Oryctolagus cuniculus: one gene and its partners. The protein of the gene in region 1 purifies or fractionates together with the protein of each later gene. This does not show direct contact. Links are inferred from orthologs where the notes say so. Each region holds a gene or a part of one and is shown in the gene's direction. Other genes may lie near its edges.

The links.
Region 2: the proteins of XPO1 (region 1) and BACH1 purify together in Homo sapiens (affinity purification with western blotting; 3 studies listed by BioGRID, with this or other methods). This does not show direct contact. The link is inferred for Oryctolagus cuniculus from reciprocal best matches to the Homo sapiens genes XPO1 and BACH1.
Region 3: the proteins of XPO1 (region 1) and NUP88 purify together in Homo sapiens (affinity purification with mass spectrometry; 3 studies listed by BioGRID and IntAct, with this or other methods). This does not show direct contact. The link is inferred for Oryctolagus cuniculus from reciprocal best matches to the Homo sapiens genes XPO1 and NUP88.
Region 4: the proteins of XPO1 (region 1) and ATP-dependent RNA helicase DDX19A fractionate together in Homo sapiens (co-fractionation; 3 studies listed by BioGRID, with this or other methods). This does not show direct contact. The link is inferred for Oryctolagus cuniculus from reciprocal best matches to the Homo sapiens genes XPO1 and DDX19A.

Annotation. Positions count from the first base shown.
Region 1 is NC_091433.1:141,217,526-141,221,391, forward strand, and holds part of XPO1 (exportin-1), read left to right. Parts: intron 1-1,473; 5' UTR 1,474-1,479; coding exon 1,480-1,605; intron 1,606-3,866. UniProt on the Homo sapiens protein: Mediates the nuclear export of cellular proteins (cargos) bearing a leucine-rich nuclear export signal (NES) and of RNAs.
Region 2 is NC_091435.1:16,285,906-16,290,215, reverse strand, and holds the start of BACH1 (transcription regulator protein BACH1), read left to right. Parts: upstream 1-1,308; 5' UTR 1,309-1,520; intron 1,521-1,597; exon of another isoform or gene 1,598-2,155; intron 2,156-2,240; 5' UTR 2,241-2,325; intron 2,326-4,310. UniProt on the Homo sapiens protein: Transcriptional regulator that acts as a repressor or activator, depending on the context. Binds to NF-E2 DNA binding sites. Plays important roles in coordinating transcription activation and repression by MAFK.
Region 3 is NC_091448.1:50,908,947-50,913,406, forward strand, and holds the start of NUP88 (nuclear pore complex protein Nup88), read left to right. Parts: upstream 1-1,458; 5' UTR 1,459-1,567; intron 1,568-1,823; 5' UTR 1,824-1,941; coding exon 1,942-2,235; intron 2,236-4,460. Other genes in the region: RPAIN (RPA-interacting protein), read right to left, coding at 1,292-1,372. UniProt on the Homo sapiens protein: Component of nuclear pore complex.
Region 4 is NC_091449.1:56,865,756-56,870,158, reverse strand, and holds the start of ATP-dependent RNA helicase DDX19A, read left to right. Parts: upstream 1-1,401; 5' UTR 1,402-1,501; coding exon 1,502-1,558; intron 1,559-4,403. UniProt on the Homo sapiens protein: ATP-dependent RNA helicase involved in mRNA export from the nucleus.

The DNA of each region.
Region 1 (3,866 bases):
AAATTATCTTTAAGATAAAGTGTTTACAATAAATTTGCCTCCATTATTAAGAATGTTTTTAAACTGCTATAAAGTGGCCAAGAAATGATGCCTTTTTTCATCAGATTGGTTTGTCCAGACGTTTCTGATCTCAAAAGGAGAAGTGGCAATGACCTTCTAACCTGTTAACTGCTAAATACTGTACATCAACCCATGGGTTTCACAAATGGCTTTCAGGATATCTTGAATCCTTGTTGACTTTATACAAAATTTGGCTAGAGCTGTTATGTTCTCTGATTCCAAGGCATCTTGACCCCCAAAAAAGTTTACAAACAGATGTCAGTGGCATTGACTTTGAAGAAAAAGCAGAGAAAATATTTTTATAGTTCTGGGCATCTAAAAATGTGCATGTCTGCCAGTGTGCTCTTAAAAGGATAGCATTGCATATGAACAGTTTTTACCCAGTACCTCTGTTTGAGGCAGCTCACTTTTCTGTTAAGATAGAATTTATTTTTATTTTGAAATTGGCAAGTTTTTATAAAACTTTTGCCTTGCCAGTGAATACCTGGAAATTTTTGAAAATCTTGGTTGGTATATTGCCATAAGCATTTTTTTCTAGACCATTTATTCAAGGAAAGCATATGACCAAGAAATACATTTTTACATCCTAAACAATAGGAAATTTTACATCCACATTTACTTAAAATTTTTTAAGATTTATTTATTTATTTGACAGGCATTGTTAGAGAGAGGGAGAAAAGAGCAAGTGAGCTTCCATCTGCTGGTTCTCTCCCCCAAATGGCCACAACAGCGCAGGCTGGGCCAGGCTGAAGCCAGGAGCTTCTTGGAACTCCATCTTGATCTCCAAAGGGAGTGCGGGGGCATAGCACTTGGGTCATCCTCCACTGCTTTGCCAACCACATTAGCAGGGAGCTGAATTGGAAGTAGAGCAGCTAGGACTCAGCTGGTGCCCTTATGGGATGCGGGTGTTGGAGTTGCAGGCAGCTGCTTAATGCATTGCACCACAATACCACCCCCTATATCCATATTTAATACTTTCTTCGACATATATTAAAAATTAAGATAATGTGGAGTGAGCTTTTACTGAGCTATCCAAAAAATGCTATATAGGAAGAAAAACCCACCTCCACTTGTTAAACTGTTTAAGAATTTGGGATCAGGACTTACAGCTGTATTAGTTTTTAGGGCCCTAAAACCCTAATAAACATTTTATAAATGTGCTTTTTATTAGACTAAAATTTAGAAGGGAGAGGTACAAGGTAGGCCTAAAAAAGGCTAGCAAAGTTAAAAGGACCCTAGTGACGAGTAGTTAAGTAATTTAGCTTCTGTTACTTGCTCTTAGTTCCTGTTGTTACTAATTAGGTGGTCTTTTAAGGCACTCCAGTTATTTGTAAAAATATGTTTGAAATAATTTGTAGGTTTCTGATAACCAAAACCTCATAGACAGCTTCAATTTTTTTCCTTTATTTTCAGTAATCTATGCCAGCAATTATGACAATGTTAGCAGACCATGCAGCTCGCCAGCTGCTTGATTTCAGCCAAAAACTGGATATCAACCTTTTAGACAATGTGGTGAATTGCTTATACCATGGAGAAGGAGCCCAGGTAAAGTAGCTAAACAAAACAATAACATAATTACATTGTGTAACAAAGTTGTTGTGTTTAGAATCAAATTTAAAGCTATCATCTTTTAAAAAGAAAATCTGTGGTTTATATGAATTTGGGATATACAGGGATACTTCAAAAATTTGGTGGAAACGTAGTATTAAAACACGTTTATTTAGATGCAAATGTTTTGAAATCCAGCATTTTTTCATAATATCAATTTCCACGAACTTTTTGAAGACCCCTCTTAAAATTAATAAGAATTGGTCAGGAGAAAAAACTGTGTTATTTAACATGGTTGGAGTGGGATGCTTTGTCATTATACTTGTTTGGTATTTCAGGAACTTTTACTCTGTTTAATACATGTTAAATGCTTTGTAGGTATTGCAGGTTGTATGTACCTTTGTATATACTTAGTATGTTTGGACTTCATGATTCTTTTTTCAGATGCATTTAAATTATGAAAGTACTTTATGGATATATTTGTTTAAAAATCCATTAATAGAGTACTTTTTTGTTTGAATTTTGTGCCCTTGTAAAAGTGCTACTGTTAAGGTAGAGAATTATATACATAAGCCATGTTTTGGTCAAGCATTTTTTTCTCACCCAATTAAAAGATAAGTGAGATAAGAATGTGTGGTTTCAAGTTGTGTATATTACAAGAAAGTGAGCAATCTTGAATCTTTATCTTACAGAGCTAAACTCAGCTCTAAATGAGTAAAAATTTCTATAGTTGGATCAGAAATTGATTTTTAAGGTGAAATATAGCACAAATTCGTTGCCAAAATGTTAGATTCCTCGTTAGATGATACACAGCTAGTAGATGTGGAGCTATTTATATTGTCAAGATAGTTAAATGCATATTCACTATCATAGTTTTTAGAGACCTCAGAGGTGGATATGGTATCTTTTACATAGATAATCCAAAATGCATGGCATATAAATACTATGCGCGCGCGCGCGCGTGTGTGTGTGTGTGTGTGTGTATGCATTTGAGATTTATTTATTTGAAAGGTAGAGTTAGAGAGAGAGCTCTTCCATCTTCTGGTTCACTCCCCAAATGGCCACAGTGGCCAGGGCTGGACCAGGCTGAAGCCAGGAGCCAAGAGGTTCCTTCTGGTCTCCCATGTGGTGCAGGGGCCCAAACACTTGGACCGTTTTTCGCTGCTTTCATAGTCACATTAGCAGGAGCTGGATTGGAAGTGGAGCAGCCAGAACTTGAACCTGTGCCTATAGGGGATGCCAACGGCTTTACTTGCTACACCCAGCATAATTGTTTTTATCTTGTGAAATTAGCACTACTAGTTTCCTTATAATAAAAGAGCACTAAAAAGAAAGGGCTGTGGAATTTATGAGAGTGAAAAAAAATTACTCTGCTGATTCTGTTTTTCAGTTCAGGTCTGTATTCTTGGAGGCACTTGATCAATATGTAATCTCCAAAAATATTCTTGAAAAAGTTATTCCTTTGGTATATATTACATGTCATGCAGTTGTTCCCTTATGTTATACATTGAACATGGAACTTTTAGCTTCATTTCTTCCAACATGGATTCATGGAAAGCTGCAGTTTCTGGAAGAAAGTATGAAAATAAGGTTGAAAAACATGAAGTAAGGTTGGATTCGGCTTTGAATGTTGTTAATGAACTCAAGTCTACAGTCACTAGAAGGATATTTAATTTTTTTTTACTTGATTGAGTTGCTAATCCTGTTTAATCTTCACTCTTTAACCTAATTCACAACATATAAAAGGTGTGAATAAACCAACATAGACCAGTGTTCTAGGCTGGTAACTGAGAAATAATGATTATTTTATCGAGAATATATTCTAGTAAGTTTTTAATAATATTTCACAATATTAAAAGATTTAATGGTTTGTTTTAAAGTTGACTTAATAAAAAGATTAGAGAAATGATAGGTGTTTTTACTTATAAGTGCAATAGATAAGTCTCCCAAAAGTAAAAAGAATGTTAGGCCTAATTATATGTCATGTGACAAATCAGTTGCATAAAAATAATCAGTAAATTGCTTGTTATAGTATAAGTGAAGAAACTAAGATTTTGAGCTTAAAGCCATTTAACTCCTTAGGTGGCTTGAAGTCCTATCTTTAAATGTTCTAAATATGTCTGCCTTTCATATACCACCTCCCTGGAGCGGGGGTGGTCTTATTTCAAAAGAAAAGAGAACTGAAGTGGAAAACATGTTTTTAGTGTTAGAAGTGTATTTAATTCTGGGGAACTTCTTCAGTCATTGCTCTAGAATTC
Region 2 (4,310 bases), on another chromosome or scaffold:
ACAGCTGGGTCTCACACATGACCATTAAGACACAACACAAATGTTACTCCTCTGGGAATCTCTCCCTGATATCCAAGCCATAGTGTATCATTTTACCATTTGTACTCGCATTCAATTTCTGTCATTTTCTCGTGTATTTCGAATATAATGCGAATGTCCCTAAGTCCTGCAGACTGTGGGTACAGCCCTGCAGTTTTGTTAATAATAATACATGAATTCATTATTGTGGTAAGTTTTTTTTTTTTTTTTTTTTTCTGCCATGTTGCTCCAGGGCTGTCTTACTGAATTCAAGAAATAAGTCCACACTTTCTGGAGCTGCTGCCAGTTGAGCCACCAAGTTTTCCCATCTCTCCTTCTCCATTAGAAGTGAAAAGCCAACAACAAAATCCTTTCAGACAGATCCTTCGAGGGCTGCAGGCCTCCGGTTGAGTGCCATCTCTCCAGGAACTCTATTATGGAGTTGGCTGGCACAATCCCCTCTCTTCCGACATGGATAAGCTTTGCCATGTGCGCTCTGCAGGGCCCAGGCTTTCAGCTCCAGAGGTGTTAAATGGCTTGGGAACATAATTTTAAAGGTGACAATTGGATACACACCACAATAAGCATCAAGGGATGAAAGCGCAACCAGAGCTCGAGCCGGGCCCGCTGACACCGCTGGCACCGAACCTGGCTGGAAGTTTCCTGGCAGTCGTGGTGAAAAGGGAACACCTGTTAGCGGATGCCCTTGTTCTCATTCAAGCCAGGGCTGCCAGACGCCTTCTACAATATCCCGGATGTACTTGCTTCTTCCCGATCGGCAGGATCCCACACCTGGCGAATCTGGGCGCCTGCCACCCCGAGGGCTTCCTCAGCCACGACCCCTGTGCGGCTCTGGGGAGGGGCGCCCGCTCTCACTCCCGCAGGGCGCGGGAACCCGGAGCTCCAGGCGCCGTGACGGCCTCCGGGCGTCCGGACACCACTCGGGCTGAGGGGGCCGCCCCCTTTCCCTCTGCCCTCAGGAAAGGAGTGGTCCTCGTAGGGGGCTGGGCACGCGAAGGTGGGGGACCCGAGCCGCTGCCGCTCCCAGGCCGGCCGGGATCCGCTCGTCAGATGGCCGGCGCAGCCCTCCCTGGGGCTCCCAGAGCGGGCTTTCCTGATCCGCGGTTCCCCGGGTCCCCTGCCCAGGCCTCCGGAGCCGCAGGGCGGGGCTCCAAGTGCGGGCGGGACTTAGGCGCGGTGGGAGTGGCCTCACGAGGAGGGCGTGGCCTCACGAGGAGGGCGTGCCTCGCCAGGCCTGGCGGGAGGGGCGGGGCGGGGCTTCAGCGGGGCGGGGCGGGGCCTCGCGAGGCCAGGCGGGCGGGGTCTGGGAGCCTCGGGACGGCTGCAGCCGCGGCTTCCGAGCCGAGGAGAGGGGAGGGGACGGTACGGGAGGAGACGGGGCCACCGGCCGCGCGGAGGGAGTGAGTCACCTGACCGCTGCCCGCGCCACCCGCCTGCCTCGCTCGCTGCCGTCAGACGGGCCGCGCCGCGCTCCGGCTCTGGTGAGTGGCTTGGCCGGCCTGCTCGCCCTGCCCCGGGAGGGTCGCGGCCTGGGCCTGTGAGGGGAGGCGCCGAGGGGGCCTCCGGCGGCTGTTTTCTGGTGGTGGTGGTGGGTCGCGGGGCCGGGAGCGGCTGCGGCCCCGTTCCTGGAAGTGGCCGCGTCCACCGGAAGGGGCGTCCGTGGGTGCCCGTGGCTCTTGAGGCGGCCAGCGCTGTTGTTTACCGGCGCGCGCTGCACTTTACCCCCGGGCGGGCGCTCGCGCGCGCCGCGGGGTCCCGGGCGCCTGCCGCCCCTCCCCGGCCCCTCGGTCCCCGGGTCGGAGCCCACCCGGCGCCCCAGCCCGCGGCCCGCCCTGGCTGTGACACATCAGCACCGCCCTCACGGCCCGGGCCCCGTCCTGCCCTCTGCCCACTCCCAGCGCCTCCGCAGCGTCCCCCGCGCCGGGCGGCGTTTCGCCCTCCCAGCTGGGTGTGGGTCGCGCGGGTCATCGCGTCGGAAAGGCCGAACGGTGGCCAGAGCGGGAAGATCACCTGGTCTAACCTGCGTCTGGGGAAATTGGTTTTGGGGATTGGAGGTCTCAGGGCTCCCATTGTTGGCGTTTTGCCCGCTCGTCGTAATGGGGACTCTCACAACATGGTGAGAGTGGGTGTTGATTGTAGAGACACCGGCTTTGTGCTCCTGTAATGCATCACGAACGCCGTGGCTTTCTCTCTCTCTCCAGGCAGGCTCATGTCATTGAATAGAATTGTGCGGCATGCGTTTGTACCATGAGCCCTCTTTCTGCGTTCAACTTGGGCGGATTCAAGGTAAAGTGTAGTAGTAATTGTGGAGGAGCCTGTGTGGGAAAATCAAGCTACCATGTCGTCTTTGGAGGAACAAAGACTTTGTAGGATGCTGATAGTTTGGAGAATTTATATCTGTGTTGGAACTGTTACCCATGGAGGATGCCACTACTAGGTCTTTGTTCGTCTAGTGGACGCTTATTACATTCCACAGGGTTTGCATTTGAGGCTGTTTGGAAAGATCAAGGGTGGAAATTCTAGGGAGGCAGAGCATTTGAACGTGTCACATGGCCGAGCAAAGAAATGGGAAGAGCTGTCAGCTTGCTTCTTCCTGGTCTCAGGGTAGTGGTGCAAGGGCTGGGCTGGGCTGGGCTGGGCTGGGCTGGGCTGGGCTGGGTTTGGTTTGAAGGCACTTGTCACTTCTGCCATTGGACATCTTAAGGAAACCTAGGAAAAAAGGCTGCTGTGAGTCATCTTGGAGTAGGGTGGCTTTGGGGTAGTGCCTGCATCTTGTTTTGTTGTTGTTTAACATAAGGTTCTGTCAAGCGGTTTACCTTTGTTCAGTATGTTGGTTGGATAATGAGGTAGGATGACTCTTTAAAAAAGTTGTGTTGCTGAGTCATTCACCCGAGCCAGAGAGGTAATTAGGAACAGCTGGTGCAGATAGGCTCATCACATGCCTCCACTATAAAAGGCCAAGGAGCACTGAGAGGGATTGCTTCAGAAGGCTGAAGGGGACTCAGTGGTTGTCTGTTCTGATACATGTAATTAGCTGGGGAAGTGCAGGAGCACTCTTAGGAAGTGGCCAGGTAGCACTGAGGTGTTTAGACCAAGAACAGCTGCGAGATCTGACTGAGAATGAATTTGTACTGGAGAAAGAGCTAAAACTGGGGCAGAAATTTGCAGGCAGTAAATATTTGCAGGCAATAAATATTTGATACAATAAACAATACTGTACTTAGTTTTTTATTTCCTCTTGTTGTATGGTCTTTAACATTTCAAAACATGAACTTAATTGGTTCTTCATGAAAGTTTCTTTATGCTAACACAAAAGGGAGTTTTCCTCTTGTTTTTCATGACTCTTGGCTTTTCATGAATACAGGAGTAGTTTTTTGGTATCAGGAGGGTAATGTGAATGTGGGTGGATTTAACATGTCTGGTACAGTCAAGGCTAGACAGTTGTCTAATGAAAGTCAGATCATACTTATGTGTCTCATTCTCTTGAAAGATAGTACTAGTGTCTTTACATTGCGTGTCATTGTTTCTTGCTTAAAAGTAACCACATAACCCAAGCATAACTTTCCTCAGTGTGGACAAAGTTTAGGAATGGGAAATATGGAGGTGAGGGTTTGGTTCTTAACCTCATGTCAAAAGAATGATGAGTTCTTATAGTAGGTAGTTTTCATTTAAAACATTTTGTATTAGAAAAAATTAATTTTGTTTAAATTTGGGACTAGAGAAGATTATAAATGAATTTTTAGGGTCTCTAATGAAGAGTGCAAGGTGGTAAAATTAAGAAGAAGCTATTAAAACTTTGCTTTTTAAAACTTTTCTATAAAATAAGGAAGACATGAAAGATACAGATTAACAGTACTTGAGTATTACATAGTGAAGGTACATCCCCTCTACCCTTTTCTGCTCATACTTGTTATCCATTGCCAATAACATTTTTTAACAGCTGTACTTTTTTAAAAAACTTCTGATTTCTTCTTAAGGGCAATTTTTATCAATGTAATTCTGTTACTTTTATATTGTGCTTTAAAATTAGAAGCTTGAGTGTAATTTTTTTTGACACATGAAGGTTTTTTAATTTAGCAGTCAGCGTAGCTATTAATTTGCCTTCAAATTACATTTTCTTTTTTTTAATTTTTAATTAGTTTTTAAGAGATTCAGCGTGCTTTGTAGATAGAATTGTAAAAACAGTTCCCTCTTGAGTGTGAATTTATTACATTCTTGAAGTTAGTGATGGAAATAGAAAAAAAAACAGTTATATTTGGTAAATGGAATTA
Region 3 (4,460 bases), on another chromosome or scaffold:
TAAAGGTCAACCAATGAGGATCAGACCCGCCTCAACCTTCAACGCCCACGCCCTATTTCTATAAAAGGAGCACTCCCAATCTCTCACACAGGACTTCCCCGGCCCCTGCTCTGTTGGGACCGGGGAACCTCGCCCGGGAGCGGGATCCCAATAAAAGCCTGTAAATTAATTGATTCGTCTGCCTGGGAAGATTTGTTATGCGCCGGACACCTTGCAATTCCCACATTTCATATTTAATCTTCCATGCCAGCTTCCTGACCGGTTGGGAGCCCAACATCTCAGCATTCACTGTCCTATCATAAGCCCTTCATATTGTTTCCACATGCTTGCTACTCTAGCGGTGGTTGGGATAGACGGGTGTGGTCAAGACTTTCCTGTGCAACAGGGTCTCCCAGCTCAAGGTGACTCTGTCCCCCAGGGGACACTTGGCAATGCTTACAGACAACTTTTGGTTGCCACAACTCCAGTTGTAGGACTATTGGCTTCTCGTGAGTAGAAGCCACAGCAAACAATTATCTCCCTCAAAATGTCAATAGCCAAGTGCTATACAGTCTGTCTAGAATCACACTGTGTTCCTGGAATATACCAACCGCTTTATTTATACATTTAATTAAATCAAAGGGCAGAGCTACAGAGAGACAGAGACATCTCCCATCCAATGGTTCATCCCCTCCCCCCGCCATGCCCGACACAGCCAGGGCTGGGCCAGGTCCACACCAGGAGGTGCTGCCCAAGGTGGCGCTTCCGGAGCCGGCACAGGGATACTGAACGCGGGCGTCCGGAGCAGCGTGCGGCTACTTCAGCGATTCCTGGAGATGCACACTGTTGCTTTCTAGGAACCAGGCGGGGTTCAGGAGCAGCTAGAACTGAGCGGGGTAGAATTCTGCTGGCACCCAGCAGATGCAGCTCTTCCTCTAAGCCTGTTTGCTCCTCTCCAGGTCAGAAACACTTCTGTCTCCCGTGGCGCACGCAGACAGGTGCGTGTCTCGGGGGACCCCCCGCACCCCCCAACCACACCACACGGTGGCGGCTCGGAAGGTGCGGCTACTACATCAGATTTAAAAGAAGCCCGAGCCCGAGAACAAGTTTTCCTGGCACTGAGAGCACCCAGGCCAATCTCAAACCAGGGGGCCAAAAACTCCGGGAGCGGGCAAATCGAAAATCCAGATCTAAACCTACGGGCGGGAGCCCTGGGTTCCAGAGTCGCCTCCAGCGGCACCCGCTTCCCACAGCGGGGCTGGGGCGAAGGCCCGGATGAGGGCAGTGACCACGGCCCAGGGCCCACACTCACTTTTCTGAAAGCCTCTTTCCACGGCGGCGAGCCCACCAGTTTATAAAGCGAGCGGCGTGGAGACCCCGCCGGCCCGGCCATCTCCTCCTCGCGTGAGTCGCCGCCAAGAGCCCCGCCCCTAAGCGCGCGCACAGAACCCTGGGAGTTGAAGTTTCTGGACGCCGGTGGAACGTGGGTCGCAGGGAGTTCTGGGAATTGTTGTACTAGAACACGGAGACGAAGGATGGGGCGGTGGGGGCTAACGCCGTGAGGTCAACCCAGCCCGGACTGAAAGAGGTAAGTCTTGAAGGAAAGTTCTGAATGCTTGGCAGTATCCAGCCAACAATTAGATACGTAGGGCTCTCAGTCTTTTGCACGGGCGCTAGACGTCCAGGCGCTCCCAAACTTTGTTAACAGGCTCTATACTGTTGACTTCCTCATCCCGCCCCCTCCTGGCTGCGGGGTAAATCCTGGACTGGCCATTGGCTCTCCCTCGGGCTATACCCCTAGCTGATGGGCTGCATCCCCCTTTTGCCCCGCCTCCTCGTGCTAGCCTCGTGCTTCCGGGCTTCCTGCTCGATGATTGGACGAAGCGGTGGACGGCTGGCCACGGATTGGCTGCGCTCCGCGGCGGGCTGAGCAACCCGAGTGAGGCGAGCAGTTGGGCCAAGATGGCGGCAGCCGATGGCGTCGTGGGTGACGGTGAGCCGTGGCAGACCTGGCTTCCCAACCACGCCGTGTTCCTGCGGCTGCGGGAGGGACTGAAACATCACAGCCCAGCCGAAGCCGAGAAACAGACGTCGTCATCACTGCCCACGTCGCCGCCGCAGGTGCTGACGAGGAACCTGGTCTTCGGCCTCTGCGGAGATCTCTTCCTGTGGGACGGGGAAAGCAGCTCGTTCTTAGTCGTGCGCCTTCGGGGCCTCCGCGGCGGCGGCGAGGAGCCCTCCCTCTCCCAGTACCAGGTAGGGCCAGGCCGTCGCGGAGGTGCCCCCCGCGCGGGCTCTCGGCAAGGGGGCCGGTGTGGGCTGGTTCTCGCGGGAGCGGGCGTCCTCTCGGGGACACACCGCTTGGAGCGGGGTGGTGAGTGGGGTGCGGCCGAGGGGAGGGCCGGGACGGTGCGAGAGCGCGGGGCCGGGGTCGCCTTGGGAGCAGGTGCCTGCCCTGGGGGAGGAAGCCTCTGTGGGAGTCTTTCCCCTACCCTCCGCAGAGTTGGAGGGACTTTGGTTTGTTTTTGATAAGTTGTCAGCGTGTGGAAGTGGACGCTTGCTGCGATTGGACATTGCTGTATGAAAATGTTTATTTGTAATACATGATCTGCTTTCATAAAGATTTAAAAAAAAACTTAGGGCACCCTTTCCAACGTCTGACATCTGTTGTGTGCTGCTGTCCAGTTCTTGTTGATGAGCAGTGATTTGATTTTTTTTTAAATGTATTTTGTTTATTTGAATGGCAGAGTTAGAGGTGGAGAAAGAGAGATTGTCCATCCTGGTTCACTCCCCAAGTGACCACTCCCCAACGACCTGGGCTGGACCAGGCCAGAGCCAGGGGCTTCTTCCTGATCTCCCACGTGGGTGCAGGGGCCCAAATACTTGGGACATCTTCAGCTGCTTTCCCAGGAGCATTAGCAGGGAGGTGGATTGGATGTGGAGCAGCTGGGTCTCCAACTGTTGCATGTGTGGGATGCCGGCATTGCAGGTTGTGGCTTAGCCCATTAGGCCATAAGGCTGGTCCAAAGTGCTTTGATTTTAATGAGATGCTAGCATTGCTTCTGCAGCTTTGAAAATAGGTCCAGCCTACAATCTACTTAGTATAAAATTTCAGTTAAGAGTAACTATCAGATCTTCAGTGCGCAGTATTCTAGCAGCGTTCGACACATTCAAAATTGATATATAACTGTTGTCTTTTCTAGGCTGTAAGCACTAAGGCAGGGTGTGTGTCTGCCTTGTTAATTTTGGTATGGCAGGTACTTGACTGAGTGCCTGGAACACACCCCCTCTCAATACATATTGTTGACTGAACAACCCTCAGTCCTCCAGAATCTCGAAAACCTCACAGATTGGTGAGGAAAAGCCATTTACCATGAGTTACAACCTTAAATTAAAAAAAAAAAAAAAAAAGTAGTGATTTTAAAACCAGTAACAACATGGGGCTGGCACTGTTGCATAGTGGGTAAAGCCGCCCGACGGTTGCTCCACTTCCGATCTAGCGCTCTGCCTATGGCCTAGGAAAGCAGTGGAAGATGGCCCAAGTCTTCGGGCCCCTGCACCTGCATGGGAGACCCGGAGGAAGCTCCTGGCTCCTGGCTTCAGATCGGCACAGCTCCGGCTGTTGCAGCCAATTGGGGAGTGGATAGAAGACCTCTCTCTCTCTCTGCCTCTCCTCTCTGTGTAACTCTGACTTTCAAATAAATAAATAAATCTTCAAAAAAAAAAAAGGAACAACAGAAATCTAAATAAAGTGATTTTCATAGATGAACTCATGTGATTGAATTGTATCTGAAGCAGAAGCAAAGCGGCCTCTTCAGTTTGAGTTAGGCTGTGGAATCAGGTAGGAAGAAGTTGGGGGTTGAGCATGAGGAGAAAGCAGAGAAGAACCACGGAAGTGCCTCAGAATTGTTTTGAGAAGAAACGCTTTGATTAGAATCACTGACGGACAAATAAAAAACAAAGCAGGCTTGTAGACATTGCAGCAGTAAGTAGAAATCTCATTCAGAGTAGAGTTGTCTAAAAGAATTTTGGCTTCATGCGATTCTTCATGTACCAGGTAAATAGTACATTGACAGTCTCACGGCTTTCACTGAACAGGGAAAGAAAAGAAAACGGGAATCTGAGGTGGTCTTAGGAAATAGGAAGTACAAGTGGACGTGAGTTTTTCAAGGACTTTTTTTTTTAAGGTTTATTTTTATTTATTTGAAAGAGTTAACAGAGAGGTAGAAAGAGATCTTCCATCCACTGGTTTACTCCCCAAATGGCTGCAATGGGTGGGACTGAGCCAGACGGGAGCCAGGAGCTTCTTCCTGGTCTTCCAAGTAGATGCAGGGGCCAAGCACCTGGACCATCTTCAGCTGCTTTCCCAGGCACATTAGCAGGGAGCTGGATCAGAAGTGGAGCAATGGTCTGGAACCCACATGGTGCCCATATGGGATGCCAGCATTGCAGGTGGAAGCTTATTCTGCTGCTCTACAATG
Region 4 (4,403 bases), on another chromosome or scaffold:
CCACAGTGCCAGCCCCCATTCATACATTTTGACATAGTTGTTGTGATTAAAAATGCAGCCTAGAGTAATCCAATTTCAATAAAATCTTAGTGTATTCTTCAATGCTTTAAAAAAAAGATTCATTGAGAACACACCATATGCCGTGAACTTTTCTGAGATCACCAGTTCGCTGTGATCTTTGCTCTGTTTGAAGATTTCATATTCTGGTGAGGAGAGACAAAATGTAAACTGGAAACAGACGATTTGATTTGTTGATGATATGGAAATGTTCATCAACGTGTTATCAGTTAATACTGAGATAATGGAGAAAGCTCTGTTCCAAAGGCAGGAGGAGGAGAGGACTTAGGTAATGTGTGACATGAGTTTGATGGACTTGTACGGCCATTATATTTGGCCATTATATTCATAATAATGCCAATAAAAAAACTACAGGGGCCACAGTTGCTTGGGGTGCCTGCTCCCATTTTAGAGTGCTGTTTGGAGTCCTGGAGGCCACAGCTTTCTGCAGCTGGGAAGGCAATAGATGATGACTCAAGTTCTTAGGCCCCTGCCACTCACAAGATTGTTCTGAGTGGAGTTCCAGGCTTATGGCTTAGGCCTGGCCTGGCCTAGCCCCAAGACAGATTTCCCTCTCCCTCACTGTGGCTCTGCCTTTCAAATAAATGATAAGTAAATAAGTCTTTTAAAAACGACTTAAGATTTTGAAAGGTTAAATTTAAAATTGCATGCATATTTGCCTTGGACACTGTAGAATATATGTGCAGTGATGCCTATGCATAAGCCTGGACGGACCTTAAATAAGAGAAAACACTGTCCTATGTGTGTGTATTTTATTGGTGGTGGTGGGGAGGTTAAAGCACGCTTTTAAAAAAGATTTTATTTATCTGAAAGAGTTACAGAGTGTGGAGAGACAGGGAAAAAGAGAGATCCGCTAGTTCACTCCCCAGATAGCTGCAATGGCCAGGGGTCTGGACAGCAGAAACCAGGAGCCAGTTCCCAGGCCATCAGCAGAGAGCTGGTTCGGAAGTGGGGCAGCCGGGACTCAAACCGGCGTCCACGTGGGATGCCGGCTTGACAGGCTACGGCTTTACCAGCTATGCCACAAGGTCGGCCTCTGTGTTTTCTTTCTTTACCTGTCATATGAACTGGCATCCTATGGTTCTCATAGGACTTTGTTTGAAACGTTACCGTCCGCATATATTTAATGTAAAATGCGGCAGGTTTAAAAGTAAGTTTTGGGTTATTTCAGTCTGGGGTGAGGGCTAAGAGTTTCACTTCGCAAGCTCGAGCATTTCGGGGTGGAATGAGGATGCCTCTAGCCAAGTCCGAGCAAAACGCACGAGATTTACTCTTTAGGAGGGGGCCGGCACGGCGCAGATTGGTGACGTCATTTTCGTGCACCGCCGCTTCCGGTCGGCGTGAGTGGTCGGTGGCCGCAGGCTTAGGATATACGCGTGGTGCCTTGCGTTCCTTTTCAAGTCGCCCTCCCTCCTCCGGAACCATGGCCACCGACTCGTGGGCCCTGGCGGTGGACGAGCAGGAAGCGGCTGTCAAGTCGGTCAGTGACTTCAGCTCCAGGCAGGGAGAACACCGTAGGGGCCCAAGCGGACCCTGCTTGGAGCACTGGGAGCGCGGGATCGGGTAGTTCGGTAGCCACCACACTCCTGGAACTTACCGCGGGCAGCCCTTTAGCCGTGATTTGCTCCTCAGGCCCGAGACCAGTATCGAGCTTTTAACAACTTTTCTTCTGGGCTAAAGACGACGCTGTAGTATATCTGTCCCTGCTGTGTTTGCTGCCATCTTTACCCTGATGCGCCTTTTTCTCTTGACGGCCGTGAGAAAAGGCAAATGAAGATGCTGATTCTCTTTTCCACTGTGGTTTCCGAGTGTCCTTGTGTTGCTTTATGTTTAACATTTTTTTAGATCCTTGCTTAATGTGATTGGCAGTTTGTGGCTCTTTACAGAATAACAGAGTCAGGTTTAATGTTTCAATCTACTGTAGATGTTGGAGGGAGGTACTACAAGTTATTTCCTTGATGTTTAAAGTGACATTTAGTTTCATATATTGGTTTCTTGATTTATGAAGACCCATTTAATTCTATTGCAAATTGTGAGTTTCTTATATCTAGGACTTAAGGTTGAGGATTCTTTAGTGATAATGGACTATTTGTTTCAAGAATACAGTTTTTTTTTTTTTACAGTCTTAAGCCTTATATAACTTTTTTTTTTAATTGTACATACTTATCAGGTTCGGTGTGACATTTCAGTAAGTATATATAATATGTCCTTATCAAATCAAAGTAACTAATGTTTCCCTCTCATAGTCATTGCTTTATGTTTGGCATCTTCCAGCTCCTCTCTTTTGTTAGTTCATCAAATACAGATATTGTGAACTACAGCCAGTGCTTTGTATGACTTTTTACACTTCTTCTCTTTTTATTGCTTTGGGAAGATTTTCAGTTTATCAGCAAGTGTCTGAGGTGAACCAAGTCCAGTGGAATACAGGAATCAGCATTATGGTCTGATTAGAAAGGCAACGGTAGGGGGAGTTCTGTGAAAGTGATGAAAAGATTATGTGATAAATAAGCTTTCAGTAGAGGACATTTATGAGTAGGAAATCTGGTTGGTTGGTTTGTTTTCCTTTAAGATTTATTTAATTTTCAAAAGGCAGAGTGACAGAGAGATCTTCCATATACTGGTTCACTCCTTAAATGGCTACAACAACTGGGGCTGGGCCAGGCTGAAGTCAGGAACTCCATCTAGGTCTCCCTTGTGGGTGGCAGGGGCCCAAGTAACTTTGCCATCATCAGCGCTCTCAGGTGCATTAGCAAGGAGCTGCATCAGAAGCCAGGACTTGAACTCTGATACCGGATACCAAACACACACAGCAGCTTAACCCACTGTGCCACAATGCAAACCCTTCTGGGGTATTTCTTGTAAAGAAGTTTACATTTAGCAAGGTATTAGAGAATAAGTTGTATTTAAGATAGAGGTAGAATCGGAAGGCATTTTAGGAAGAGTGTGCACAATTGCTGGACTTGCTCATAGAACCAGGAATCAGAACTCATTTTTGAGGCTAGTGCTGTGGCTTAGTGGGTAAAACTGCCTCCTGGAGTGTCGGCATCCCATATGAACACTAGTTCAAGGCTTGGGTGCTCCATTTCTGATCCAGCTCCCTGCTAATGCTCTGGGAAAGCAGTAGAGGATGGCACAAGTCCTTGAACCCCTGCACCCGCATGAGAGACCTGGATGAAGTTTCTGGCTCCTGGCTTCAGCCGAGGCCAGCCCCAGCCATTGCAGCCATTTAAGGAGCAAAATTCTCTGTCTCTCTCTGACTTTGCCTCTCCTTCTTTATAACTCTTTCATATAAATAAATGATTTTTTTTTTTGACAGGCAGAGTTAGACAGTGAGAGAGACAGAGACAGAGAGGAAGGTCTTCCTTCCGTTGGTTCATCCCCCAAATGGCCGCCACGGCTGGCGTGCTGCGCTGATCCGAAGCCAGGAGCCAGGTGCTTCCTCCTGGTCTCCCATGCAGGTGCAGGGCCCAAACACTTGGGCCATCCTCCACTGCCTTCCCGGGCCACAGCAGAGAGCTGGACTGGAAGACGAGCGACCGGGACAGAATCCGGCGCCCCAACTGGGACTAGAACCTGGGGTGCCGGTGCCGCAGGTGGAGGGTTAGCCAAGTGAGCCGCGGCGCTGGCCTAAATAAAATTTTTTAAAAGTAACTCATTTTTACTGCAGCTTAAGGTTACTGGGTTGAGGTAGAAGCAACATAAGAAACATTGCAGGGTGGGTTTCAGACCTTAAGTAACTACACAGGAGAGGCTTTAATCAGGTAGGTTTAGGGGTTTTTCATTGAGATGCTAACAACATCAGATCTGAAGGCTAGAAAAATACACGGACTGCAGAGAACAAAATGTATTAGAAGGAATGATGCCTGAAACTAAGGAGAGCAGCGTGGAAGTGATTCTGATAGCCCAGAGAAGGAGGGCCTGTGTGGGGCAGCAGATGTGAGGCATTATAATAGAAAAGGAGGAGAAAGGAGATAAAGTTACAGTACTGTTTTCAAGCTGGATCTGACAGGTGTTGTGACTGAAGTGCTAACATCAGGAATCTTGGGAGGAAAGGCATTCAGGAGGTTAGGAGACAGCTTGGTAAATACCTGTGTTGGGGGTGCCCAAGAGGTGTCCAAGTTTGATGACTGACTAAGACTCATGGTTACACTCACAGCTAAGATTTATTACAGTGAAAAGATATAAAGCAAAATTTGCAAAAGGAAAAGTTTCATGGAGCAAAGTTCCGAGAAAACCAGGCATGAGCTTCCAAGAGCCCCCTTCCAGTGGAGCTGAGAAGACTTACTCCTTTGGCAGCGATTTTAACAACATATGAGGTGGTATTA